Linked DNA regions of Lepisosteus oculatus. The protein of the gene in region 2 interacts with the protein of the main gene of each other region in a biochemical or structural test. Links are inferred from orthologs where the notes say so. Each region holds a gene or a part of one and is shown on either strand. Other genes may lie near its edges.

Evidence for each region.
Region 1: the proteins of mc4r (region 2) and pomca form a complex in vitro, tested with the Homo sapiens proteins (2 studies listed by BioGRID). The link is inferred for Lepisosteus oculatus from reciprocal best matches to the Homo sapiens genes MC4R and POMC.

The regions. Positions count from the first base shown.
Region 1 is NC_090697.1:22,198,658-22,214,467, reverse strand, and holds pomca (proopiomelanocortin a), read right to left. Parts: upstream 5,882-15,810; 5' UTR 5,879-5,881; coding exon 5,720-5,878; intron 4,518-5,719; coding exon 3,858-4,517; 3' UTR 3,506-3,857; downstream 1-3,505.
Region 2 is NC_090701.1:6,390,388-6,406,034, reverse strand, and holds mc4r (melanocortin receptor 4), read right to left. Parts: upstream 7,905-15,647; 5' UTR 7,689-7,904; coding exon 6,687-7,688; 3' UTR 4,643-6,686; downstream 1-4,642.

The DNA.
Region 1 (15,810 bases), on a different chromosome or scaffold from region 2:
TTCCTTGGTGGTTACTGTTCTTTGTGAGACACTTGTACTGTGTTTGTCTATTAATGGTGGTGGAGTGTTGCCTTTTGATAAGAAATAAGCAAATGCCCAGTGTGCGACAACAGGTATGTTTTGCAGATAATTACTGTCTCCCGCTGATCGATGGAATTTCTGTTCATTGTGAATGAACATGATGTGTATTGTATTGGTGTTATATGAAGATGGGACACGTTAATGATTTTTAACCATCCACTTTAATGTGTGTTATATATGTCTTCAATGCTTAATGGAATTTTAAGTTTGAATCTTTTTTCTAAAAACAATCCTGTAGTTGGAAACCTCCATACAGTATGTTTGTATCCCACCGGCCACATACCGACAGGCTGTGCTGTGGGATTGTAGTGGAAAAAGAGGACACTATGTGTAGTCTTAATCGAGGCTAGTGGATTCATGGGTTAATGAATGGGGAGGTTGTTGCATAGATCCCAACTGAATACAAATTCTGAATTCTTGGGAACGAAAAGGTATAATTAAACGACAAATATTTTTTAAACAATTAAGTGTAAATGCCCTGCCCTTTGGTGTTCTCGTATCTCATGTGATCCCCTCTTCCTTATTATAATGAAAAAAATAATTGTGGAAAGCAGGTGATTGTGTTATAGACCTTTCCTGTGCTCTGTCAACTTGCCTGTACCTAAACCATTGTTCGGCTGCGCTGCAGTTTACAGGCTGAACATCAGCCAACACACTTTCTACTTCTTACGTGTGATTGCTGTTTGATCTCCTGTGCCAGATGGACCATAACTGTAAGAAACGTCTTTAGAAAATGTGAACCTGTTAAATACACATGCTGTAAAGAATAAAAATGATCCATGAATTAAAATGGTTTTTTTTGTGGAGACTGGTTTTTGGTCAGACACATACAGTATTTATTTCCTATAGCAAGTTCTCAGTTACAGCTCAGTTCAGTGTGTAATTTTCATGTGTTGACACTACTGTACTGTATATAGTGCCATGAAAAAGTATTTGCTCCTTGTCTGATTTTCTGTTTTACTGCATATTTTCCACAGTGAATGATAATAGATCTTCAAACAAAACCTTATATTAGATAAAAGGGACCCTGAGTGAACAAATAACTGTCACGGACGTCCAAAGGGACTAACTGTGGGGAGCAGGAGAGCGGAAAAAGACCCATATGCGTAGCGGCGAGACGGGAAAAAGGCCCGGGCTCATAGTGCAAAGAGTTCAGGAATGCCGTATAGAAACCTATGCCCTCAGGGAGCGGATGTGGGGCGCCCTGGTGCTAGGCGGGTCTCAGGACATCCGAACGTCAATGCTGAGCGAGGACAGAGTGCAAGACCCGGAAATATATAGCCCAAGGGAAAGAGAGGGACAGGAAGGACAGCAGAGCGGAAACTAGGGACAGGACAGAGAAGGAGCACCCTCTGGCTGCAGAGGGCGTGACAATAACACAACATTATTAATCTTTCATACTTAATTTTGTTTTAAAATTTTGCAACCCATTGGGACACAATTTTGTCCCACTCCTCCATGCAGAAGTTCAGCTCGGTGACATTTGTGGGTTTTCAAGAATGAACTGCTCTTTTTAGGTCCTGCTTCGACATCTCAAAGAGGTTTAGATCTTGCTGTTCCAAAACTCTTAAGTTTCTTGTTCTTCAACCATTCAAATGTAGGCTTGCTTGTGTGTTTCGAACTTGCTGCATGAGCCAGCGGCGCTTCTGCTTCAGTTCACGGACAGATTGACAATTGACATTCTGCTGTAGAATTCTCCGATCCAGAGCAGATTTCATTCTGATGGCAAAAGCCAAAGTTAGACAGATTTATATTGGACAGGGCTGGCCTAAATTAAGCCTAATTGTTGACCAAGGCTGACCCAAAGATGACTAGCGGACCCTAGTTATCCCCTTAATTGCGATGAGTTTACTTTGGGTGGGGGGACAATACTGTAGCTTTTCATACCTGAAGATAGCATGTTTGATTACCTTGCACACAAAACAAATAAAAGAAGTACAAACCTTTGGTGTCATTTTTTTCTCTCACGTTTTCCTCTGTACAGTATACTACTACAACCCACCAAAAGATTTTACTGAATTTTTCCCAATAACGTATTTAAATTACATATTGTGTTATTAGTTGTAGCTAAAGTGCCTTGCAAAAGGATTCACTCCCTTTCAATGATTTCTTATTTTGTTGAATTATAATTGTATATACCTGTACACATTTGTCTGAAGAGAATATTTTTAATTTTGATTATTTTTTCACATCTTGAATTGGTTGAGAGTCATTGATGGGCAGCAATTTTCAAGTCTTAACATAATTTCCTATTGGACTCAAGTCAGAATTGTGACTGAATCCAATGGCCCCACTCAAGGACATTTACTTTTTCATGCTTAAAACCAGTCCAATGTATTTTTGCAGTTTGCAGTTGTGCTTTGGATCTTTATTCTGCAGCCTGAACCAGAATTTATTTTAATATTTGCTTTTACTTTGATCCTTCAATTTTCCACTCAATCTTGACAATCTTCCCAGTCTCTGCTAATGAGATTCAGTCCTATAACATCATATTTTCACCACCCTGCTTGGCGTAAGAGTGCTATTGACTGGGTGATGTGCTGTGGTGCATTTGCACCAGACATAACACCTTGCATTTAAACCAAAACGTGCCACTTCTGTTTCATGTGACTACAAAACGTTTTGTCAGATCTTTTAAGTATCACATAAATGCTCTGTTACAAACTCCCTGAGTTTTTGTACCTTATAGAAGTGTGATGTATTTTTACCTCATAGAGATATGTTTTTTATTTTGAAATCATGTGAAGAACCATTATTGTATATAGAGACCATTTTACTGTGTTTTGTCAATTTTGTGTGCCTAAACTAATTTAGGTACTGTAGGAGGGTTGTTTAGTTTTTGACCCATAGCTGTTTAGTTTGAGCCTAGCTTCTGGAATAATTGTTAACTGTACATATTTAGTATCAGTATATTACATTTTACAGGCATACATGTATATACTTTTGAAAAATTATTTGTGTTTAGGAAACTAAAACTTTTTTTTTGCACTGGGAGAAAGGTTGTCATATTACTAGAAGATACAGGAACTGATATAGAAACGTTGACTGAATCTTGTAGTTTGCCTTCACTGACTATCTGTCCATCTCTGTCAGCAGGTTTATTTCTTTAGGTTAGCTGTTCATCACATCTTTCCTAAAACCTTGTTCTTTTTGAGTCAGCATGACCTTAGTCTATGCTGCTTCATTAAATAGTGTAAAACAAATTCCATGAATCATGGTGATGATTAATTCTTTAGAGCTGAGAATATGTTGTGCCATCGTTCTCTTTCTCATTTCCTTCTCTGGTTATCTCTATTAGTTTATTGTTGATAGTTTTTAAAGTATGGGAAGTATAGCTTTTCTAATTATTCAGTACATTTTTGAAGAAACCTATGGCTAAGTACTTTCACAGACCGTAAACACCAAAGAAAGAAAAGGAGAACTCTTTTTAGCTTGCAAAAAGTATTTTGTTTAATTTACATTATAGTACATCTCAATAAATATGAAAAATAACTTTCCACTATTAATTTAAAGTTGAATTTCTCTCCCTCCCCTCCCTTTTCCCAGCTCTAACTCGCAAAAGCATTTATTTTCTATTTACAGTTTTCAGAATTTATGGGCGACTACATTGTAAACAAGGGCTTTGGCAGCAGAGAAAACAAACATACAACGGAGCTACCTTTCAGGACTGAGCCTCTTTCTTTACCAGAATGCCAACTACCTAAAATTTTGCTTTGCCAAGATCAAGGAGGAAGTAAAGCGAGGTTTGGGGCTATTTTATTGCTTCTCCACACTCCTTACTGGCCTTTTTTCTGATGGCCGTCCTTAATGATGACGTTCTTAAAGAGCGTCAGGAGTGGCTTCTGGCTGCGCTCGTCCCAGGACTTCATGAAGCCCCCGTACCGCTTGTCCTTGGGCGGGCCGCTCCAGCGGAAGTGGTGCATTTTGTAGGAGCCATCTTTCTTCTCCTGCAGGTTGAGGACCTCGTTCTCTCCTCCGAGCTCCTCCTCCACTTCTTCGAGGAGGGGGTAGTCAAGGTCGCTCATGAGGTCGCGCCGCATCTCTGTGGGATAGGCCTCGGCCGATTCCTCTTCCACCCCGTTGGGGTACACCTTCACAGGCCGGCGCTTGCGGCCCACCGGCTTCCCCCAGCGGAAGTGCTCCATGGAATAGGAGCGCTTGTCCTCGCGCCTCTGCTGCTGCGAGCTCTCACTCTCCTCCATCTCTTCCTCGGCCTGGGGTGGAGCCAGGGCGGCAAAGAGGATGCTCAGAGCCGCGTTCTCTCCGGCTTGCTTGCTGCTTCCCACAGAGCCGTTGGTGCGCCGCCCCAAGGCAGTCGAGCGGAAGTGACTCTTCGCGTAGTTGCGGTCAGCCTCTGAAGGAGGCTGGAGGTGCCCATTCCCAGGAAAAATGGGAGATTCTGCGGTGAGGTCCGATTTGCAGGCTTGTATACACTCCTGGAAAGCAAGAACATCATTGTAAAGATTTTTGTAAATTCTCAGATACAGAACCTGCCCATATTCCGTATGTCAAATTAAGGCCATACAATAGACCCACTTTTTATCAGACTAATAGGGGGAAAGGGGTGTCTGGTATTGCCGGATATAGATTAAGTTATCAATGAAATATTTCAAGCATACAAAACACAGTCGTAGATGTGAAAAAAAATTAAGTCTGAAGTAATCCAATTTGTTTTGGAATGGTGGTAGACTACCAGAAGCTCATTCAGTATATCCTCGGCCTCCTTTACATGCCGACAGCTATGGATATCAACCTGTGTAAGCTGCCAGCATTTGCACACAGTAATGTTGAGATCCTTTCCTTGCTGACTATGCGTTCTGTGTAGACGTCGCATGCTTGTGTGCCTGGGCATCGTCCAGGAGTGAACGCCAGAAGAGACCAGTCTCGTCGGCATTGCATAGCTGGGAGAATACGATCCCTTCGTCTTGGATTAATTTATTGAATTTCGGATGGAACGGTTCTATCCTTTAAGTGGAGCGGTCAAAGCATATCTGTGGGTTCTTTTATTCAATCTAGAGGGAAGTTGACAAATCGTCAAAGCCCTCATTCACTGCATTTGAAATTCAGTTTCATGTGTTCAGCCAGTGTATTGGCTGTAGATCGTAATTCAACACCACAGATAACCTTGTTTGGAAAAAAAAACCCTAAACTAGATTTTGTCTGTTAAATTCGGAGTCTGTTAAAGCGGAGCATTTACTGTAATAATTATTAATAATGGATGGCAGAGAGGCTGTTTTTGTATTTTAAAATTGATTAATGTAATGCAACAGTATTTATTATTTATAAAATAATTTAAGGCATGATGTTTATTTTTGTTTTAGTTCGCTGTGATGGTATTTTTTTTTAACAGCAGCTCTTAGCAAACTGAAATGCCTTTTAACATTGTCACAGAGGCAGCAGTAAATATTACAAATTTCAAGTCATTATACTATATTTTAAATTAGAACAAAAAAGTATCAGTAGAGTCTAACACAAGTTGTCTTCAATGGGCACCAATATGTTGTCACAACCAGGTATGCTGGACTCACAATTCACAATTCTTAATTACAACACATTTATGAAATACCTATTATCAACACTTTTGTGAGTCTACATGGTACCGAGTGTTGCATTTACATTAAAAGAAAGTTCTGCTCACCAAGATGTTTTCCTCCGAGCTGAGGTCTCTGCATTGAGAGTGTTCCCAACACTGGCTCTCGACCTGACTGCTGTAGAAGTACAGCAAGGCCAGAGAGTACACCCAGACTGAACGCAGCATCTTCAAACTGAAGGAATGGCCTGGAAAAATCACATACATACAGTATTTCTTAAATTCTTTTGGGATATGTATGGATCACTCTTAAAATAATAGCTTCCTGTGCCTCCCCATTTATTTGTTTGCTTTGCTGTATTTCTGTTTCCCCTTCTGAAACACTATTTATGCTGTTTTAGAAATAAGGAGTCCTTATGGCAGCAGAGCTGCTAACATAGGGACCCTGATCTCAAGCACTGTCTCACAAGTGATTCATATTTCTCACGTAAAGCACTTCCTCTTACCCATACCTACACAAACTATCAATTTTTTTAACCTTTTTCCATCTCTTTTCCTGGGGGTGCCAGTCCATCACAGGACAGACACACAGACACTCACACCTACCTCCAATTTTCCCTGAAGCCAAATAATCTACCAGTCTGTTTTTGGACTGTGGGAGGAAAACTGAGCATCCAAGGAAAACCCACGTGAACAATGGGGTAAACATACAAACTCCGGGATTGAACCCAGCCCAAAAAATTACGAGGCAGTAATGCTCATTACTGTGCACTGTTCCACCCTATGCAAACTAATAAACTGAAAAAAAGATGTAAAAAATAATGTATGTGTAAATTAAAAATATTTTAAAACTATTAGACATCAAAACTGTGGCTTATTTCTACAGAGGAATTTGCCAGACAGATAATTATGTGTGCCTTAAAGTTGTATAGGTCACTTACCTGTATTAGTTCAGTTAAAACAACTGTTTATACAACTATAGTTAAAACTACAATGGTATTTTGTATATTTGCATAGTCTGGGTGACATACAGTACTGTTTATATGTTTTCATCTTGTATACAATTTTGAATATTTACCCACAATTGCCATAGGGTTTGCACAGTTCTCCATGATACAATTTGTAAATAATGTCTAATAAAATTTCACACTGTTCATTTTCCACTATACCTTATAAATTAAAACTATAGGTTAATAAAATCCTGACAAATTTACCACTGTTGCTTATTTAATGTTCTTTAAAGAACACTTTTTAAGAGCAGCTATCCTTGTGTCTGAGCAGGAACAGTTGCTGTTGCTCAGAGTAAATAGATAACTATGATATACAAGCTGATATTTGCCTTTGCTGAGTTATGCATTACCATTTAAATGCTGTATCACTGATTGAAAGCACCAGCTACCTGCAAACTGCATCTAACCACTCTAAAATATTACTGCTTAGGTTTTATATGTTCTCCTTGCCTGCTTAGTTTTGTAGTGAACACACATACAATATCTTGTACTCTCTGTTGAAACTGTTGTAATTTCTTAAAATATATACCTATACTGTATTTAAGGTGAGTCACGTTGCTCTAATAATCTTGAAAGCTCATGTACATTACAGTAGAAATCTGATGTTTCTTCAGGTATTGCCTAAATCTGACAGATGATTGATTTTCCCAGATGTTTAACCTTTAAAAAAGATGTCAGGCTCTAAAAAAAGTATGTAATCATTTATTTTGGTTTCAAACACAGAATTGATTTTTTTAGGTTTAGGAAATAGCTTCTCAGCCAGTCAGTTATTATTCCACAATCATGGGACTTTCTTTTGTTTGCCACTTTGTTGTGCTTGTTTAACAAATTGAGAACTTAGCCTGCCTTGAATCACAAATTGCTGTGCAGCACAGGGGACATTGTGCATACTGTACCTGATTGGAGTACTGAAAGGCAAAAATAAAAGTACAAATATCACAAATTAAGTAAGGTAGCTTGGTTTTATAATTTAAGAGAGTCTCAGGCCCTTTAATGATGTCATTTTTCGCAAAGGAGAGGCTTGCAATGTAAAATACATGGTGAGAGTTTTTCTCATAGAGGAAGACAGACTTTGAGGTATTTGTTTTGGAAATACCATTTAATGTAAAAATATATATGTTACAAAACACAACTAGTCTTGCTTAAAATACAGTTAAACTATTCCACCTGAAGTGTATAGAAGGTGGATCATTAAAAAAAAAAATCTGCTATCAAAACTATGAATCAGTTGGCTGAATTATGACAAATACTGATTAATTAATTTTCAGCAGCTAATATTTCTATATACTGTAAAATCATGTGTGTACCATTTCTGTAATTTCATCTAATTTCCTAGTTGATGAAGTGACTATTATGAATTTAATTCTGAATTCTGAAGCAACTAAGCAACCCAACAAATGTGCCGTTCATCAAACAAAAAAGAAACACATTTAATGTTTTATTATTTGTAAATTGTTACATGCTGTAGCTTTTTTTTTTAACTTTTTGGCCCGCAAAGCCAATGTGATAAAAGTGTTTTGTCTCTGATTTATATATAAAAATCACACAGTAATGAATTAATCACAGAGGATAAAAATGCTAATAATCTTTGGAGTTCTAGTTAATAATTACCCCAATATTAAGCATGCACAAGTAGAAATTGCATGGGATCTGAGGGTAAAAATGTTGTTAAATCCAACAAAATTGAAAGGTGTCCTGGTGTGACAATCTGTAGAAAAATGTGTTATTATTCTACAGATATTTCGATTTGAAATAATGTCAAAAGTGAAGTGCTTGTAAAAGTGAAAATGTGATCCATACTTTTCCAATCTGAAATCTGTAAATCTACCAGAAAACTACAAATTAGTTTAATAAATCACCCTAAATCAGACCTAAATATCCTATTGATCAAAAATAACATTGTATTGTTTGTTAAATTTTAGTATTACAAAATTGACAAGCCATTTGATAGAAATAAAAAAATGAATATAATTGAAGAATACAGCATTGCTTACCTGCCTCTCAGTGTTTCGCTTCAGTCTGTCAGCACTCAACAGGTCTTCAGTCCTTCTCTGCAGGTATTCTTGTTATCTTCAAAGCAGGTTTTGTGTTCTTCTGACTGCTTCTTGCTCTGTCTCTAAGTCTGATCTCCTAAGCAGTTCCTTTTATACTCAACCCTTGCACAGCAACCTTTCATGGGCAATAGTTTACGAGGAGGGTTCCTTTTGTGTCTCTCTTAAGAGGGGAGGTGCTAATGTAAAGTTCACAAATGTGAAATCTGTGGCCGAAAAAAGCCTCTATATTTCCGGAACACATTTAACGTCACTGCTAATAGAGAAAAGGATTGTCAAGTGAGTTCTACTTCTCAAGGATAGATATCCTTGATATTAGTTTCACATACTAATTAAATAGCATATGTGTGAATTTACTAGGTTTAATAGTGAAATCTATGCATTTTCAATCTAGCAACTTCATCACTAAGGTACTCTTTTGTTGCTGGTTTCATGGCAGAGGTGCTAGATGCACACTTTAATTAAACATGGTTTTAAGTTACATGGGATAATTGAAATGATGCACTGATGTATAAAGCCTGTAAAGGGCAGAGCAGGTTTTTTTTCTCTCTGAAAATTGATTATTTGGTTTAAAAAATGACTGACGTCTTGTAGCATTAGTCATTAGAACAACTCAATTCCCTGGCCAGTCTCTCCTGGGGTGACAAGTGGCGTTAAAACCGTGTGGTGTTTTTTTTGAGCTGGAACAATGCTTGTTGGGAGATAACAAATTAACGTAATATGTGAGCCCAAACCTACTTGTCCGAAGGTTCATTTTGCACTCTGTTCTCTATGATTTATTTTATTGATCTTTAACAAAATCTTTTATCTGCCATTCCTGTCTGGTCCAAATGAAAAAATAACCGCATCATGGTTTTGGAACTTAGTTTACAACTTTCTCTTTTATTAAAAATGTCCAGCTGTTTTCTGTCACAAACTTCTGTCCGGGTTATTTCTATAACCTTACTGTTCCATGGGCACTGGCAACCTTCATTCAGCATTTTAAGAAATGTCTTACTCACCGTGTCCAATTTCTGTGATGAATGGATACCTCTAGCCATGGCTAGTAGGATTTTGGCATGCTGGACAATTTTTTTAAACACAGTTATAACTAGAACAATACATGTTTAAAGATGCAGTTAATCATGTTTTTTGGGGTCTCATTTGTTTCTTATAATTGCATATAAACAATATGACAGTACCTGTTTTCTGAAGTGTCTGACAAACCTCTGATTACTGGTTTGTTGGGGAAGTGCAATGGTGGTGAGAAATTCATAGACAAATTAATGGAAACTTTGGACTATGGCTGAGGAAGTAAGCATATGTTTTTGGTAGAAAGTAAAGTCATTTCTGGAATGTGTTGCGGGTTACAATAATTGTGTTTTTGATATTATAATAATCAAAGAATGGAACAAAGCAATTGGTATTTATCAGTCAATCACCTTTGTGTTTTCTTAGTAGAGTACATTCCATTTTAGTGTTATGAATGTAAGGCATGAATAAAAATACCATTAGGACATTAGGAGGTAGGGTGGCCTGTCAGAAAGACCGGTGGTGACAATACCATCCTGGAAGCAGGAGGCTCAGGTAGCAACTTGGGATTTCATGCAAGAATGTACATTAGTTGGAGATCTCACGATAATGGAAAGGTGTTTACCTGGAGCCTTTGACAAGGGAAGGCTCCTAGTTTTTTCAGACACAGTCTTGTAAGTGCTAACAGAGAAGGCAGCACTGACAGAGAGGAAGAAGTTACCAAACCTTCATGCAGAGTATGCTAAGAGCACAGAATGGAATTTAAGGAACAGGCATGGAGATGAGTAGCCGATAAAAGAGCACAAACCTGACTGAGAAGTCGGGAAGGCAGGAGAGATTGAGAGGTGGATTCTTTTCCACCCCACAAACTTCCAAATAGATCAGGGGTTACAGAAAGAGCTCTCTTCCCCAAGAGGAGATGATAAATCTATTACTTTGGACTGGGGTTTTTAATTATAAGAGAAATCCAACCCCAGACAGAGACAAACTGGAGAAGCCCAGCGTGTCACGGAAGATTGGATATTTGGTTCTAGACCCTACATGACAAAATATCTGTGCTACAGGAGGCTTAGAGAAAGTGGGCCAGGATATACAGTTTCCCAGGCTTAATAAAACTCTGTATAGAGGAATTTGTCAACATAGGTAATTCAGTCAGGAGGCTCATGTAGTAACAATGGCATTTCTTGAAAGTTTGAAAATGTTTGAAAGTTTCAAGCTAATTGGAGAAGACTTATTTGGAACTGACTACAGGTACATAACCACTCAAAAGAAAGAAAGTCAGGCTGCTTTAAGTCTTAATATGGTCTAGGAAATACTAAAAGAGAAGACAAGCTGAAGGAGGGAAGCACTACCTGAAAAGAAAGAGCAGCCATGCCTTGGACCAGCACTGACAGAGGTGTAGGAGAGCCAGATTCATTGTACAAAATCAGCAGCATTGAGTTGTGCTGAGGGAACAGGAAAAAAAGTCTGTTGAGTGAAGCAACAGGGATTGCAAGAAGTGTATTTCCTGCTGAGTGAAAGACAGGCACGTAGAAAGAGTGAACTCCACAGGACAGGAGCTGAAAAGCAGACAAATCCCAAATAGCTCCCATTGAGAGTAATTCATATCTCACAACAAACCTGGTATCAACAGAACAGTATGTGAAAGAAAGTTATATTCCTTACAGGGGTTATTAAATACAAGAAAGAGCCAACCGCACGCAGAAAGAAATCAGAGAACCTCAGCATACAAGTGAAGGCTGGGTGTCTGGTTCTGGAGATGTTGCCATTCAATAATATGCCAAATGTGCCTTAGGGAAGGCGTATCAGTATGTAAAGTCTCTAGGCCTAAAAAAAAACCTTTCACGGAAGAAAATCCAACCAAAAGTCAGCTGAAACACCAAAAACATGAGGTGGTCTGTGAGCAGCAGGTTCTGGGCTTCTGGGGGAAGAACTTACTGTAAGTATGAGTGCTGGCAGGTGTGTACACACGGGCGAGCAGTGACTTTCCTACAGAAGAAAAGTTAATGGTTACAAATACTTAATTAATAGAGCACTCAATTTTGTTTATTAATCAAGGGTTTACTTTTTCCACAGTTAAACAATCCACATTGTTGAAAATGGTCTCATCTTCCTTCTTGGTAAATCCCCTCCTCGAAATACTAAATTTGTAGACTGAGACTCTGCTCAGGCTGTAGGAATTATACAACTGTATTTTTTTGTGCATGGAGGAAAAACACTAATAAATAATACGAAATACATTTGCATTATTGGATTATTTTAAAATATATAATCTCAGATCATTGTTAAAGCCTGTATACTTTATCAATACAGAATATCAGCTATACAAAATAGATCTTAGAGAAAATAAGTTAATAAGTTATGAGTGGATCAGGTAAGCAGCACATCAATGTAAAAACAAACTGTATTATTTTATTTAAACATTTACAGACATTGTAAAAATGTTGGTCTCTAAAAACCACTTGTTATCATGTTGTGTGCAGAGGATATATAGTATGTGCCTTTAGAATAAGTAAAGGTTTATTCCATGCTGAAATGAAATGAGCCTTCTTCAGATGTTGACTCCTGGAACAAACCTTTACTTGTTCCTTTGCAGCTCACGCATACTGACACAGCTACCTACTTGACCGCCTTTAGAATATAGACTTCACTCATGTTACAATAATATGCCAAATTGGATTAGCTGAATATTGTTAGTGTTGTTGTAGTAAATCCTTTTTTTAAATACCTTACAGTGACAAATAATAAGATAAAAGGACCATGGGCACAAAATATTTAGTTTTTTGGAATTCTTGGAAGTTTGCACATTTCTTTTGGAATTATTGAGCCAAATTGGTGCATTGAGACAGTTAAGGGAGTTAAGGGAGAGCATTTGGAATTTAGAAAAAGAACAGAAACTTTTCTGCATTTTTTTTTCTCTTCTAAAATAAAAATATCTAAACTTCAAGAACTCCAGTTTAGTTGAAGTCACAGATTTAAAAAATTGAGAAATTGAAACTTTTTTTGCAATTTGTATTGTTTTTATGTATTGAAAGATGCAGGTATACAGTAAATAGGACATTATGGTTATAATTAAAATGGTACATGAGATGCTTTGACACAAATAGCATAATTACCTTAAACCTAATTTCATATTTTATGTATAAAATTAGCGTTTTCAACATACAGTATGCTTTATGAAATACATGTCTTGCTTCTAATGGACAACTGTCATTTTTAAAAATCATAATCTGACAATTAATGTACAGTAGAATAAATACCTACAGTATATACTGATTTATATAATTTGAATATGTGATTAAACATTTACAAATCATTTGTAAATTAAGGTTTAAAAATTAACAATTAATATTTGCATTTGAATAATGATAATTTACCACAAAAATATGGTAAGGCCTGGGTTTATTAGGTATTAGGTATAGTGTGGGCTATTATTAATCAACTCGGCTAGGCTAACTCCTGTGTGGATGACCCTGTGTGGATGAATTCTGCAAATTCTGTGGAAAGAGTGAAATTTTTAAATTATTGCAAAAGATACAAGAACAAAGATGGCCAAACAAAAACCACATCTTCAAAATGCACAAAATAATTCAGAAGAGATTTCCACTGAATATTTCATTGATTTCCCTTTGTTGGTGTTGGACATGGTTGTTAGGAGTATAGTTTTGTTTATCTTAAGATGCTGACAGAAAAGATTTTACTGTAGAGGGATCAATTAATTTCTTAATAATGTCACATACAGTACATTACCTAGTGATACTATTCCTACTGATTGTAAATCCATATTCCATCATCATTCTGTGATGTATATAAAACATTTCTGCAAAATACTGTACAATTAATTGTAATTAATGATTACAACTATCATTAGGTCATCTCAGTTACTCATTTTGGAACCTACTAATATGTTGATAGCTCCAAGATCACTGTTGTAAAGATGAAACTAAAGTTTGTTGATGTACGTTTGTGTTAAAGAATGAGCAAAATACTTCCAGCAAGCTGCCAGGACACTGTTTTCACATTTGATAGAAGATTGCTCATATGGTGAAAGTGCCCTACCATTTACCTTGGTGAAACTGACTGCTGAAGTGAAATCTTCAGAAACAGACTGACTGTATCTACAAGCATGCCAGAGAGTTGAGGATTAAAGATCTCTCCAAACCAACAATCCCCACACTTTTCTTCACCTGACCATGACAATACCCACATTCCTGTTTGCATTCTTTCACAGAAATTCAAAGATGTCTGTAACAAGGAATATACTGGTATAGACCTGATCTTTTCGGAATAAAAGGACAGATGAAACCGAACCAATGTGGAATTGGCACCATATACAGTATTTTTGTCATGCTGGGCACTGTAAAAGTAACTTGTGCTGAATGACAGGTGGACCACTACAGAGTAATTAATGTACAGGAGTCTTGTACCACCTGGAGGCAATTTTCCACCACACCCACTTCAGGTGGTTCAAGATTACATAAAGTGTAATCTGGCAATTGTCCAGATTTTGTCATAGAGTATGCTGGATTTCCCCTTGTGCTGTGCTTCCATGTTTTCCTGCTTGAACCTCACTTGTTTTTGGATTTTACCCTGTGCTATGTTTGCCTGTTCCACACTTGCCTGTGTTCATCAACCTGTCTCTTTTGCTTGCTGTAAACAGTGTGTTGTTAGCTCACATAACCGCTTACCTGTTTGTTGTTTATCTGCCTGCATTTGGTTTTAAAGAACAAAAACTAAACTAACAAGCTAACATGTGTTGATTGCTACATATTAAGATCAATATTTGGTGAAAATACCTTTGGCACCAATTACTGTATATCTGCAGACTCTACCAAATTTGCACACAGGACAATGAAAAGGACCTCGAAACTTGTAATGACTGACTTGGTGCAATTCTTGGCAGATTTTCTCAAGCTCTGTCATGTTGCTTGTTTATCACTTATAGACGGCTGTTTTCAAGTCTTTCCAAAGACTCTCAATAAGATTGATGTCAGGACTTTCACAGGGCCGTTCAAGAACATTCACTTTCTTTGTTCTTTGAAGCCACTATACTTTAGCTTTGGCCTTGTACTTTGGATTATTGTCCAGCTGAAATGTGAAATTTCACTTTAGTTTTAAGTCTTTTCCTTAACACATTTTCCACATTTACCTGTACTTTGCCGTGGTCATTTTTCCTTCATCTCTGATGATGCTACCACCACTATGTTTGACTGTAAAGATGTTGTTGTCTAGGAAATAAACTGTTTGGGGTCTGCATCAAATATGACTCTTAACATTTAGACCAAAAATCTCAATTTTGGTCTCATCAAACACCTTTGCAACATTATTGCAGGATCACTCAAGTGCTTTTTTGCAAATTCTGTTCAGGCTTTGGTATAGCTTATTTTTAATGATGGATATGCAGCTCTGCCATAGAGGCTAGTTTTGTGAAATTGCTGATGTGCATTTTGTTCTCACCAGTTTCCTTCTTTGTCCACCTGCTCAGTTCTGAGGGATAATCAGATTTAGACAGACTCTGGGTGGAACAATACCCCTTCCAATTTTCCAAAGTTTCAATGGACTGAAATGTCATTTGTGTACCTCTCTCCTGGTCTGTTCTTTTTAATGACTTTATCCTTGACTTATTTTATAGGCACCTTGGTGTTCATGGTTGAGTCTTTCTTTGAGATTCACTACCTGAAAAGGGAATCTTATAGAGACAGCTGCTTTTATTCTAAAATCCTGAGAACCATAGTCACAGAGGTGACCCCAATATGTGGGACATGTAACCGACAATGCCAAAAATAAAAGTGGGGGTGTCACAGATATAAGTGCAGCAGCAAAGCTTTTAATAAGCCGCAGAATTCCTCATTGAGGCCACACTCTGTGGTCCCAGTCACAGAGTAGCTAATGATTTGTGTGTGCTGGAAAGCAGAGAGTTTAAGTTGTTCTTGATAAGTAGGATCTCTAAGGACAGCACCACCAATACCAGCACTCCCCATGATGGATGTCTGACCCTTTGCCTCGATGTCTTGTGCCATATTTATACAGTATCTATACGATGGGCTTAAAATCCATTGTGATCAATGACCTAAAAAGATAACCAGCCAGGTACTTGTAGGGCATGGACCCACTCAAAGGACCCACT
Region 2 (15,647 bases):
TAAGAGCCCAGTCAGAGTCTTAATACATTTAAGATTGATGTTATGCTTGTTTCTTAGCAAACTGCTTCAATTTTAAATTGTTTCAGAACAATGAATGCTAATGTTTCTTTTACTTTGAAATTGATTTTTTGTATATCGACTCTTCCTAATTTATATCACTCCTTAGGTTTAGGTTTTTGAATAACAGTTAAATTAGTTACGTCCTCCAAAAGTAGGGAGGATTAATAAGCACTTAAAAAGCAACAAATGCAATTCAAAACGGCTTCAACATTGGAACAGAATTCAGCATTAATTTCAGGAGAACACATGGCAGAACAGGGTTTTGCTGGCTAGCAGAAAAAATAAACTACAGAAACAAAATGGAGGAAATACTGTGCTAGAAGATATGTATGAAAAAACACTTGCGTCTTTATGTTGAGACATTTGTTAAGATGCAAAACAGGACAAACAATGAATGTATAGAAGGTTCAAAATGAATAGTTAAGATGTGGAATTAATGAGATGCTGTTTAACTGTATTTATAAGACCTTATTTACAATACTGTCTGCAAGTTTGATAGAAGCTAGAAGAAACAATCACTTTTTCTGCGATGTACTTTAAAACTTTTGCATTAAACATCAGAGGAAATGTACACTTGTTGGCTCTTATTAGTAATCTAATTACAAGTAACCTATAAATACTTCTATCTATAATATCATTCCTATACAATGATGTCAGATGCTAATGCTATGCACTTACTATACATCAATGCATGTGTCCAGATTTGTATTTTTTCTTCTGTTAATACAATAAGATACACTAGTTAATCAATTAATCAGAAAATGGCACTTATGTGAGTGATGTAAATTATAAAAATGATTAAATGATTGAGGAATGTGTTCAGTATTATAAATATGTAATGATAAAGTAATGCTTAAAAGATAATTTGAAAAGCAATATGATGAATCATTTTAATGTAAAATACTATATATATAAACCTTTGAAAAATAACAGAAACCAGGACTAATAGTTCCAAATACTGGGACATTAAATGTGTGAGCGCAATCATATTTGGTGAGAAATATATCTATTGTCTAGTACACCCAAGTAAAGTAATGCATAATCCTTGGATGACTGCTATAAGCTTGATTTAAATGGGAAGTGAAATTCCTTGCACCAAACGTAAATAGAAATGGTTATACTAGTGGCTAAACTAATATCCTTTCCTGAAAAGAGAATTTTGACATTGGCTGGACTTGAATTCCATGTAGAACAGTACAGCGCTGCACCACCATATTTGTCATTGACAGGCAACCTTCTGTCCATGGAACCTTGCTTAAAAATGTAGGTGCAAGCTCATTTTGTACTGTGGCTTCGAGATGACATTCCATTCTATGTCTAGTGTGAACAGCTCTTCAAGCTATCTGTTGAAAAGGCCGAGCAGTGTACAGATAAACGCTTCTTCTACATAATTACTTGTGCAAAAGACAAGAGCCTGGGATGTTGAAATCTAGAGGGTGACATTAGCTCAGGCAATGGAATGGTCCTTAATTATACTCTGTGGTATCCAAGCTCTTGACTTACAAACATCTTACAATCTTGCTTGGTTACACTGAGTATTTTTAAATTCAAGTGCAACACAGCTGGGCTGGAAGGAAACTTTTGTTTGTTGAAATTGCCAATATTATTTCAACTCCACAGTGCACTCTTGTGTTATTCAAAATTAGTTAAATGTAATTGGACTTGGATTTCTGGTCCCTATATATAGTAAAGATAATTTTATTTCTTAACGGGAGGTGTATTGATTTGAAAGGGCAGTGTGAAAAATATTTTAAATGAATCTCTCTTATGGGCAACTGTGAATATTGGAAGTATGATTACTTTAACTTATTGCTATTTCCAATATTACATACTAATTATTCCCACTGATAGGACCATTGTTAAAATGATTAATTGTCATATTCATTTTTATTTTGAAACATATGTTTTTAATGTTTCCTGTTGTATTCTCATTATTTTTCCTTGTTGCATTACCGTTTGGAATAAATGTCTCAGAAAAATAACTACTGAAAAGATCAAAGTACACGCAAGCTGTTTCAACTGCAGAGAAATAAATATATATATATATGGAAAAGGATTTAACACATCTGGAACATAAATGACAGTTCAGCCACAAGCTAGACAGGGACCAGCTGGTAAAGTGTAGATAGTATAAGCTCAAAGTAAAATTCTTAAAAAATCAAGTGATACACTTGGACTTCTCACAACTAGTATATTTATTGACGGCCTCCATCCAAGGCATTGTATTATTTTCACCCAAATGTCACATTTATAAATAGTTCAAAATGTTTTTTTACTGATAATGCTCAAAACAAGAAAATTACATACATTTTCTTCTACAGCAATACATTTTTGCAAGTATCCTATCCAAAGACATAAGAAAATACTATTAGAAGAACCTGTAACTTGTGACTCAGTGCTCTTTTTCTGCATACAGACATCTTATGAGAATGAGACCCTTTCTCCCATATAAATGTGTGTATATATATATATGTTCTTTCTTTGCTGTGCAGTACTGTATGATTTTATCTGAAACCCCATGCTTAATGAGAAAGGTATACATTTAAGATGTTTTCCCATCCCTTTTGCGAAATGGTATGTAAACACTTGAAATTTTTTAATACCAATTGTTTCTGAAATTTTTCACAGAAAATACTTTGCAGAAACTTGTCTTTCTTTGCTGCAGGATGCTGAAAGACTCATTTTGCTGCAGCAGGAGAGTTTTTGTCAATAACCAGGTTTACCTTACACTCAGTTTTGTTACAGTGAGTTGTCTGAAGCATGGAAACCTTTTTAGTTTAGCTTTAATTTCAGAAAGCAGTAAAACCTGACAGGTTATTTAGTTCTAAGTGCGCAGTTCAGAGATTTGAAGGTCTGAAACCTAACCCCATTTTGTCCAGGTTTATTTAAAAAGGACTATTGTTTTATAAAAAAAAAACATACACATCTATCTTTGCATTAAGAATGAAACATTTGTATATCAATTTATAAAAAGGTTGGAAAATAAACAATGCAATAAATTAGCAAATTGCCTGCGCTTACTAGCCGCATCGCAAAGCCAGTTTTCCCAATTGATAATATGGTTTACTAAAGTTCCAACTGAAAGAGGCAGGACAGGGTCACTTCAGATGTTTTTTTTTCATTTAGCTGTTTAATGCTTGGTAAAGTACTGAAGATTGGTATGTGTAGTTCTCCTGAGTAGCTACAAAGAAGGAATATATAGATGTACATCAACATAAATTTACAGTAGTTGTGATTTTGTTCATAACATCCCTGTTCATGTACAGTAAGGCAGTGTCCCAATTTTGCACTGTGTCCTAAACCCTTCCTCCAAGTCCGCACTTCAATGACGTTGTGCCAGTGTGGACTTCAAGTTAGTGAGAGTTCGAAGGGGCACCATTATTAAGAGCAATAAGGCACCCTTTTGTGACTTATCACTCGTTAATCGGGTCAAGGTCAAAATGCTGCCTGTTGTTGATGCTTCATTCCCAAAGGCTGAGTGCAGCGGATACACTTCTTAAATTTCATTCTCTCGCAGTTGGGTACAAGTGATGTCATCTCATCTATTCCTGCACAGAAGTAGTGACACGTTGTGCTCATGTTGTTAAGGCTCGACTCAAAACAGGCGAAGTATACTAAGGAAACCTTACAAATATTGCTCTCTTTATTCAAAGCTTTGTATTGCTAAATGTGTTTAATCTCGTCTGTTCCAATACAAAAATGACAGGAACAAAAATGATGAGGAACCCGTTCATTCAAAGCAAGCTCAAAGCTTTGTACTTTTAAATACTGTATGTGTACTGTTAAATACTCAGTGTACCAAATACACTGGAGGTAAACGAATATTCATCATTCGAAGTTGGGTGATGTAATTAAAGCTTTTGTCAAAATGTTGTCCTAGAATACACACAGAACAAATATAAAATATTCTATTTTTTTCATAAAATAGTACGCTTCTAAAAACTGTAAAGAGTTCAATTTTACTAACACGTGAATATTTTATTTTCCATGGAAACGTCTCTACGCTTTCCTAGGCTAGAACATGAATTGTTGCCATTCTGCAGGGAATTCGGGGTAGTTCCCTTCAGGACGCACTGGGGACGCTGCTGAGCACCCCTGGGAAACAGATCTAGAAATGGGGCACCCTGATCCCTTGCGGACTTGAACGAGAACGCTCAAATGAAGGGTGCAAGACCAGTTATGTACATATTGGGACACGGCCTAACTCTGGTCCAATTTTGGGTACTTGAACATGCTAAGGAGCCAATTTCTCTGACTTCACAAATGCTGCACAGGGTGTCTAGACTTAGCTGCAACCTACAGGCAAAGAATAAATGGTAAAAGTGAGTGGCTAAAGTTTTTTTTTTTTACCCTTGACTTTATTTGTGAAAGATTAGAACTACCCTTACTGAATTGCAGTGCAAATGTTTTCTAAATGTGCAATTCTGAAAGAATTGCAATCAATACATAATATAAAGTAAAATTCACTTATAGAATAGGTTGTAATGTATTAAGTACTAATCATTTATTGTATTTTATGTATACTTATGGTTTTTCGGTCCTGTGAATTTTTTATATAGTAAAGTGTGTGTTTACACTTGTTTAAATAATGAGGCTGCATAAAATTGAGACAGTTTTATTAGTTTGCATGAATACACTTTAGTCTTCATATCACTTTTCATAAAGGATCTATTTACTTTAGTCAAAAGCTGCGAACACATTTGAATAGGGACTAGTCAGTTTTACTCTTTGTAACATTAATGACAGTCATTCGCTACACTCATAAGTTGATAACCTAGAGTAAGACACACTTTGATTTTTTCCATTCAGTTCAAACAAAATACCGCCCCCATTTTAATGTGTCCCTGCACTTGATACAGTATGGCTCTTTTGTAAACATAATAAGAGACATAGAGCACTTCTTTCACAGTTTGGTCTCCATTCAATGTAATGTCCCCTGAATTCCTCAACATATTTCTGTCCTGATTCACAGTGTGTGCCGATTCAAGCATCACAGGCGACAGGTTGTCCAAGAGTAAAGGAAACCTTGACATTCAACATTTTGTCAAAACAAAATGTGCATTCTAAAGTTATGGCAAAGCCACAGCAGAGAATTAAGCACTTTTTCACAAGGTACTTACTGATGATCAGCATAAAATATATGCTTTTGATGTGAGAATGTTTTTCTTTTCAGTATTTTTAGTTAGGGAATTTCATTCAAGAGTTTGTGGGGAGCATTTTTGGACAGATGGCTGCTGTTGCATAGAAAGTGGTTAAACACCCCACAACAGACTGTTAAAAAAAAATAATCAGATGTACTGAATGTCAGTTCAATCAGAATAGTGTTAATGTTAAAAGGTCAAACCTGATACCAACTTTAAAATGTTTTGCATTTTTAATGTTAGTTTTCATAATGAAATAGATTTAAACCTTGATCTGCATTTTGTCTGCAAACGTTCTGCAATTTTATATTGATCTAAGAAATGTGTCTAAGTATTACAATGTACAGTGCTGATTCATTCATCAGTACAATATGTTAATGAAATGGTGGATAATCAGAATAATGGGTGCATATGGAATTACCAAAAAATAATTTAAATAACTGCAATCTGAAACAACCCAGCATTTGTTTCGATGTAGAGTTGGTAAATGGCTTTGGCAAAAAGTACTATATTTTTCAGGAAAAAAACATATTAAGATGTTAAACCAAATAAAACAAATTAATGCATAAAATCTATGGTATCTGTCTATTTCTATAGTTCTCAATTTTTACTTCATCTTGGGGGGAAGGGCTTAAACACATTATGATTTCACAGCAGACAGCACTGCACTAAAACAGGACAATGATTGGAGGGAAAAAACATACTGAAGCACAATTAAAAACTTTATAAATAACACTAAATATACACACCAATTAAAGCTGTTTTTCATAAAATTCAATATTGCACATTTAAAATGATGTCTTAATGTATGTACATATATCCCATGACACTGTATGGTATAAAGCGGTTTGGCAAATGACATGACATACATATACTGGATATGTACAGTCACATAGATTAAATAATGTAACGATATATTAAAAAGGCATATGCTGTTGTAGTACTTAGTTAACCAGGCTGTTTAATTTTAGGACTTAATGGATAAACTTTATATTCAGTCAAAAGCAGATTTTATGACCGTCTCTACAAATGTTCTCTCCACAGCAGAGAAAAAACAAATATTTGTAGAATGTTACAACATGATTAGGTATTTATTTGCCCAGTCTGCTGCTCAAACCCTACTGTTTAAATGCGTCATGCAAGAAATCAGGTACATTAAAAAGGCATTGCTTGTCTGTTTCTTTCTGAGAGTTTTGTTTGCCAAGAGCAAAGGAAATATATTTTCTACAACCTCATGAGAAAACAAGTGATTATCAGCAGAAAGCAGTTTGCAAAAAGCAAAAAGCAGTACTTTTGTACTTGATTTTTAAATCTGTACTTTTTTTAAGCTTTTCTTAAAAGAAACCATGGATTTCTCTAAAAGTTGTATTGTCATTCATATGAAGTCATGGTTACAATTGTGCATTATTTTTAATGGGTTAGCATTACCATTTACTGAGTTACCAAGAGTTTCTGAGGAATGATTAGTTGTGCTTTTTTAGGTCTTTAGTATTTGCTGGGCAGTTCACAAACGCAAAACCCAGGCAAGCCATACCAGCAGAAGATCTCCTTGAATGTCTTCCGCATCTCCTGACTGCGGAATGCATATATGAGTGGGTCAATCACCGAGTTGCACATTATCAGGATGAGGTACATGTTGAAATGAGACATGAAACAGACACAATAGGGGTTGCGGGGACAGGCGATCATGAGGATCAGATGGAGAAAGAATGGTGCCCAACAAACAACAAAAACACCAAGCAAGATGGTCAATGTAATTGCTCCTTTCATGTTTGCACCCTGGTGGATTGTGCCATTGCCTGGCAGGGCAGCAATTCTCTTCATGTGCAACCGCGCCAACATGAACATGTGCACATAAAGCGAGGCCATGAGTGCAAGCATGGTAAAAAACATGGTAATAAGGCAAATGATGACAGTAGTGCTTTCAGAATAAATGATGAAGAGAATTCCAGAGATGGTGCAGAATGCCCAGATTGTTGTGATGATCATCATGGCTCTCCTCATTGTCATGATGTTGTGGTAACGCAGGGCATAGAAGATTGTGATGTATCGATCAATCGCAATCGCCAGCAAACTACAGATGGAGGCCAGGAGAGAGCTGCAAATCATAGAGTCAAACACGTTGTCCATGTTTTTGATCAAATTGTCCTGGATGGTCAAGTGTCCGCTGGTGATAAGGGCCATCACAATGGTTTCCCATGCATTGGAGACGCTCACCAGCATGTCAGCCACCGCCAGGCTGCAGATGAAGAAGTACATTGGGGAGTGGAGGTTCTTGTTCTTTATGATTGCTGCAATAACCAGAATGTTCTCCAAAAGGCTTACAATTCCAAGGGTTAAAAACACCTCTGTGGAGATCAAAAGCTGCTCATAACATCCTGAAGAGGAGTCCTTTTCATTTGAGTCATTGTTGACAGTAAATGCACCTGAGCTGAAGTTCCTAGAATGATAGTTGTGTATCAGTCCGTGGTGGTGTGTAGTGTTCATCTTGTGGATAGTGAGCCCAGTGTTACTCAGAACATTTTCATTATGTATTCCCTTAAATCTGTGATGAGGATAGCATTCCTTACATACCCTGTGCACAACTGAGTTTTCTTAGAAATTGCATCTTGCACATTGAGCAACTCAGCAGTCTTACTGTATCCAGAAACATATATTTGGCAGCATTTCAAAGGGTAAAACACGAGTGTACTTACTGGATCACGGTGAAAACCTCCCACTTGCCAACTTTTAGCTCTTGGAAGCAGCTTCATATTTTCATGACATTTGTTAATTCACAGCTTCAGCCTTCTCTACACGTTTAATTCCTCAGCTGGTTTCACAGAGGGGGGAAAAAAGGTAGCAAGCAAAGTAACATTTGAAGTGGTCGTTGTAATGTGCTAATCCTCCACTGTCAATGAAGCACACAGTAAGCGTACCATCCTTTGGCAAGCTAAAGCTACATCTAGCTGTTTTATAATAGTCTACATTGCACTGTCTGGTCTGCCTCCTCCCACTGCTTCTTTGTCAGCCAATAAAAATTCAAGTTGACAAAGGAGAAGAAAGCTGAAGCTGAAGCCTTTTTTGTATGGGGAGGGGGTCTAATAGAGTAACTCATCTAAATTATGATTTAATTTTAAACTCCATTTATTCTTTAAATGTGATTTTCTTCAAGTTTGTTTTACTAAGAGCTCCAGTTGTAAATTCTGAAGATTATTTTTTGAATCCTGAAAGTTAACTGCACTGTAATTTTATGGATCACGTGTGTAGTTCACATGGTTTACAATTATGCAAAAAATAAATAGCTAAATTGTTAGATGCTTATGTTTTTAGGGATGCAACATTAACAATATGGGTTGTTTTAGTCAGTTTTAAAAAATCAATTTCCAAAAACAGCAAGTTTTGAAATTTGTTCAATTTGAGTTTTCAATCCATATAATGTGGAAAAGGTGACTACTAAATACTATATATTTCCCTTAACTTCTTTAGCATAATATTAAACTTAAATAGATTACAAAAAGGAAAGTAAGAAGTGGTAGAGACTTAATAAAACCTCTGTTCTCACACAACAAAACTGGATGAATAATTTTAAAAAAATAAGCAATTATTGGATAAAGCAGACAGTGATGATTTTTCTCCAAAATGGAGTTTAGTTATTCAGCTAAATACAAATCTGTCATTTATATTTTTCCAATTTCTTTATAAAACAGAATTTCAAAAGATTGAACAATGAATTCTTCAGAAAAGATGTAGAAATCTTATCTAACAGTGGAAACATTTGTACATATTGCTTATCTACCCCAAAAGAATGCACTGTTTTGGAAACATTTTCTAGATTGGTGCTCAGTGAAAGGATTGCATGTGTCATAGTGTCATTGCCTTGCGTCTCCTTGTCTTACTCAAAACCGGTCTCTTCCAACACTTCTGTATCGATGGAGGGTAAACAGAGATCAAAAGTCTGCTGTTCAAGGTAGTGATGAATACAGCTCTGACTCAGCCAATAAAACAAAATGTTCAAATTTATTGAAGTAAATTAAATGCATCGTGCTGTTACCTCTGGGTAACTCCTCATCTCTAGGATCTACAGTACACACTTAGCAGTCCCTCAAACACTTAATGGTTAATCTCTCTCCTACCCAGAAGTTAAAGCATGAGCTCCCTACTGCCTTTTCTTGCAACACAGGCTTATCACTATTACTCAGTGATGCTGGATTTGACCACCTGGATGTACTGTACTATAAGGGTTTCACTCACAAAACAGATTTGATGGAATTTTACTCTGAGTGTGTGTAAAATGTTTTTTTTGCTTGCATTATATGCAGCTGATTTCCAAAAGCTCCAATAGTAATGTGGATATTTCAATAGCCACTTCACAAAACTTTAATATCTTAAGAATCTAAAGACAATTAACATCTAACAATTAAAATCACAGAAATTTCAAATCTCCAGAAAGAAACAAATGCAGAATCAGTATTGTATTACAGTTAAGCATTTACTCACTTGAAGACCATTCAGAAAGTTTTTGGTGATTGATTGTTGAAACTATAGCCTTGTCCATCGTCAGCTGCAAAAAAGGGAGCAGCAAAACTTTATTAATCCAGATGTGAAAATGTCATACAACATCAATTAATGTGTTCAATAATATTTCTTCAGTTATTTTCTTCCAACCTAATTCTGCTAATTATCCTGAAAGCATCTTTATACTTTATACTGTACTGAAATGATCCCCAGTGCGGTGTTGTATTATGAACTTTTAAGTCTTATGTGTAGTTTCCCTGAACATACAGTAAGAAAATATACAAATGGGAGAGGGATATTCTAGCTCTGGTTTTGTTTGGTTATATTAACAAATAATTGAGGATCTCATCAAATTTCCTGCAATAAACCTAGGTATTTGCTTTGATAACTTGCAGTGGAAAAATGTTAAATAGACTTGTAGATTAATTACAAAACAATTGCAAATATTACAAAATTCTGAAAATGCTTCTAAAGCTTTAAGCTGCATAGTATTTCTATATAAAGGATGCAGTGTAACTGCAAATATTGTAATGTTGCAAAAATACATTTGAATTAACTGAAAGGGGAATTTTCAGCTCGGGTTGTGCACATTCATTCAAGCCTTACAGTGTGTGCAGATATTAGACTTCGTAATGCCACATGAAAATGAATTTCACAATTACGTGGCACTATCTGTAAATAAGTGACAAGCTATCACGGACTAAGGCAGCTGTTCCAGAATCTTGGCTAGGTAGATCAAAAATACTTTTATTCTATTGCACATCTGGGGAACTGATGCCAAGTGTATCTGGTTCCTAATTGGAAACTTCCTCTAAAGAAGCTCTCCAGCGTAGAGATTATCCAACATAATTGGCCCACACAATCGGTTAACTTTTATTCAGGCCTTCTGAAACAGGCTGACAGGAAAGACAGTCACTCAAAGCCAATTCAGTGTAAAAAAACAATAAACAAGTTCATTTTTTACAAAGTACTTTCAGACACTGAGACAAAAGATCTCCAGTGTGGGCACTCACTAACACTGCAACAGATTTAGAAGTTCTTAAATATTTTTGGAATAAATAGGTGAAGATAAAACATAGATGGAATGTCATGCATAATTAAATAGTAGAGATCACAAAATCTTATTCTAATTTTATATATACAACAATGTGGAAATGTATTAGAATACCTTAAAAGAATCTGCCTGTGTGAACCTTGTATACAAAAATTGATTTTAAATCAATTTCTTGCAGATTGGTTGACAGGTATGCTACAACTGCAATGCTTAGCGAACAGATGGTAACTGTTTTGTAGTCAGCTTTAATACATTTTTCACAGGTGTAATTGTGACTAGCAAATTTATCATGATGTATAGCTAGTTTCATTTATGTACATTTAGAAAGGCTCGTCATAAAATGTAAAGTTCTTCTAGTATATGCATAGCTTTTTTAAAGGTGTGCTGAGATCATGCACACTACTAAATGTGTGTGGGTATTTGTCGGGTGACTGCATATGGTTGTAATTTCATATCTACAGAACAGTAAATTTCATATCAATATGTAAAGATGCATCAGGAGGAAAAATCATCTAAAGATGCACTCCTTAGGTGGTAATACTGTATGTATTAGTAGTTCAGGTGGGTAGCTGCGTCAGCATGTGTAGGCTGCAAAGGAAAAAGTAATAGGTTTATTCCATACTGAAAAAAAGAAGAAAGAGCGGCTGTGGAGCCTTCTTCAGGTGTGAGAGAGACAGGGCAGTAGGCAAAGGTAAAGTAGCGGGAGAACAAAGGTTGGGAGGGAGGAGGAGTGAGAGGCGGGAGCAGGGGACAGAAAGAGAGGCCAATCAAGAGGTGTGAAGTCAGAATGGGTGCAGAGAGGTGTGAAATGAAACTTCCAATGAATGGAGAAAATACTGTATGTATTGTATATTCTTAACATGAGGTACTGTGTGTTTTGGAATGTAAGAATTTAGTTTTTGAAAGGCATTTTATCACTTAAAAACATCTAAGAGAAAACAATATACAGAGAACTTTAAACCCTAAAAGATTACATTTGGTTTTGCGTGATACTGTTTCCATGCTTGCGCAAGGACTAATCTAGCTATATTAAACTTTCACTTTCAGCTGAGAAATAAACTAAACTTACTAAACAGTGTGACAAGTTGACAAGACAAACAACAAACCTTGAAAATTACATTTAGAATGTTTTCTTAATCAGAGTATGTAAACAGTAATTTCGAAAAGCAAACTTTCCATTTAGTTTGTGATAAAGGCAATATGGGAATCTAAATTTTGCACTGCTTTTTTTCTACCAGAAATCTGTAGGCGATTGTCGTAGTAGTATGCAGTTTTTTTAAATAAAGCAAACACTGCATGTTGCAGTTCCAGCAACTGGCCACCAGAGGGCCACCCCAACCTCTAGTGCCTACTTCATCTGTACAGCAGAGGCGCAGAGCATGCAGATGGCAGTAGCCAATCCCTGCTTGCCAAGTGTCCCTACCTCACCACGCCTCCCCTCCCCAAACCTATTTAAACTGTACTTTGTACAGGCTGTGTTGAATATTGTTTTCAACTCTGAGCTCTTGGTTGAGACTTTCTTAAATTCTTCCTGGACTCCTTGCCTGACTTTTTGAATTTTGGCCTGTTTCCCGACCTTGGCTTTTGGATTGTGTTTCCCTTGCTTGATACTTAATTTGTCTTCTGGGTTCGGACTTTCGCTTGCCTCTTGACCCTGGCCTTGGATTTCCCTCCTTGACTGTTTTTAGCTTTTTGTGATATTGAAACCTGCATAGGGTCCATTCCTTGTTTTCTGAGCTGTGGACCAGCTTAATATTGCAGTAATCTATTTAATCTTTAGCTAAGTTTTTCTTCACTTTATATAGCCATATCTCTTATTTGTGCATGTAATTTTATGGTTTGGAGTGTGTGGCTACTCTGGGTGTGCTTTCGTGCTCGCTGCTTTGTTTTTCCCCCCAAAAATGATCTTGCTTGGCTTGTTATTCAGTTATTAGTGTGATTATGCCCAACACCTCCTCCATCCCCCCACAAACATGGCCGCCTACAGCTACAACCCCCGACGGCTGCTCACCCACCCATCCCCCACAGCTGCCACTCTCCAACACCTCCGCCATTAACACCTCCGGCACTGAAAGCACTATGAGCATCATCCCCCGGGCCAGGCTGACCATCACAGCTGACCAGGTGAAGAAGGAGCTGAAGAGGCTGCACGGCCACAGGACCAGATAACATCTGTCCCAGAGTTCTGAGGGCCTGTGCTGATCAGCTGAGCGGAGTGCTCCAGCGACTGTTCAACCTGAGCCTGCGCTTGGAGAGAGTCCCGGTGCTCTGGAAGACATCATGCCTGGTCCCGGTACCAAAGAAAGGGCGCCCCTCTGTCCTCAACGACTACAGACCAGTTGCACTGACTTCTCATATCATGAAGACACTGGAGAGGCTGGTCTTATCCCACCTGAGACCCATGGTCAGCTCATCACTGGACACCCTACAGTTTGCCTACCAGCCCAGTGTTGGTGTGGAGGATGCGATCATCTACATGCTGCAAAGGGCCTACTCACACCTGGACAGGGCTGGCAACACTGTAAGGATCATGTTTTTCGACTTCTCCAGTGCCTTCAATACCATCCAGCCCTTACTTCTAAGGAGGAAGCTGGAGGAGATGCAAGTCGATGCCTCCATGACCTCGTGGATCACTGACTACCTGACGGGCAGACCACAGTCTGTGAGACTTCAGAACTGCGTGTCTGAACTGGTAGTGAGTAACACAGGGGCACCTCAAGGGACAGTTCTTTCTCCATTCCTCTTCACCCTCTATACTTCGGACTTTAAGTACAACTCAAAGTCATGCCACCTGCAAAAGTTCTCAGATGACTCTGCAATTGTGGGATGTATCAAGGGTGAGCAGGAGGAGGAGTACAGAGGACTGGTCAGCAGCTTTGTGGAGTGGTGTGGGGTGAACCACTTGGAACTGAATGTTACAAAGACAAAGGAACTGGTGGTAGATTTCAGGAGGAAAAAGGTCAAACCTACTCCTGTCTACATCCATGGGAGTGGCGTGGAGATGGTGGACTCGTACAAGTACCTGGGAGTGCACATCGACGATAGACTGGAATGGTCTAAGAACATCGAGGCCATCTATAAGAACGGACAGAGCCGACTTTACTTCTTGAGGAGGCTCAGGTCCTTCAATGTGTGTAGTAAGATGCTACACATGTTTTATCAGTCGGTGGTAGCGAGTGCCATTTTCTACGCAGTGGTGTGCTGGGGCTTTGGGATTAGAGCAGTAGATTCCAAAAGGCTGAACAAGCTCATCAGGAGAGCGAGCTCTGTCATTGGGTCTGACCTGGACCCCTTGGAGGTAGTGGCTGAGAGGAGAATGATGTCCAAACTGGAGGCCATCATGGACAACTTCTCCCATCCCCTCTATGACAGGCTTGCAGGAATGAAGAGCACGTTCAGCAATAGACTGATTCATCCACGGTGCGACAGGGAGCGCTACAGGAGGTCATTCTTGCTGTCTGCCATAAGACTGTACAACGCATCCACCTTGCGTCTTGGCAGAGGCAACAGCGACAGTGACCTGTTTCTGGACTAAACGCATATACACATATACTGCTACATCTGTTCTCTTTCTTTTTCTTTTTCTTTTTCCCGTTTACAACCACTTTTGTGCAATATATGCCAGGGACCTGTGCAATACATTTATATTTATATTTATATCTATGGTTACATCTATATTTATATTCATACGTGTGATACGATTTTCTGTGTACTGTTCTGTTCTAGTTTCCTCTTGTGTGTCCGGACTGTGAGTAACTCTTGTATTGTATTGTATGTATTGTACTATTAGTATATAATTCGTTACACTGTGGCTGTGTTGTGTGTGTTAAGCTGCTGTTGCACTGCAATTTCCCTCACGGGATCAATAAAGTATCTATCTATCTATTAACTGACATTGAAAGAGTCACCTGCTTGTGATTAACATCTTAAAAAAATCTCTTGTTTCCCAATTAATCCAAACTTCTTAAATTGTACACTTAGAGTTGAATGTTAAACACTTGCTATCTACTGTTGTTATTTACTATTAAATGGTAATTGGCTTCTTTAGAAGTTTACAGTTTAATGTAATGCAATGTATTTACATGACAATGAAAAACAGAATATTGAATGAACCAATCATGCATTATGTATTAAACCCCAAGATGAGGCTGATTTGTTGCTGTTTGGATGATCTCTTTAAGCAGACTGTGATGACTTTGGTACAGATGCCTAGGGCTGTTTTGTTTTTTGATCTGGAAACACAAAACAATAACAAGCCAAAATAGAAGTTATGTGTTAAAACTAGATTGGGCTGATTTTATTTAATTACCAATGCATTTGAATTTACTTCATCTTCAAACTTAAGAAATCACTGATTTTAAAAAGAAACCCTTACCACATCCAGTAGAGAGACAAGTAACTGTAGCCCAAAACATCAAAGTGACTGATTTTGTTTAATCAGCAAAAATAAGAGCTCTGCCCCTCTTTAACCAGGACATTTTCGAACACATGGCATATTTAAAACTGCTATAAAGTGCCAGTGCTTTTTTAGTCTTTTAATGACCAGTTCACTGTCTCTTCCATTTATAATGTACTGGGTTTACAATAAAGGAACATTATATATGAATTGAAATTTGTCCTTGTGTAATGTTTTGGCAGCACCATGTGAAAAATTATAATCTTCCAACCTCTAATTCAAGTGTACTATACTGATGCTCAACAGACCACTTTATTAAACATTAAAGTAAATTAAAAATAAATCTGTACCAAGTGGGGAGGTTTTGGTGGGAAGGACCATCCACTACATTGTTGTGTGTCATCTCTGGGAAATTCTGAGTTTATGTACAGTAGATGCGTAATAACTTTAAGCACCATTACTGTCAGGGAAACAAGTATACTGTATAACTTCTTCCAGA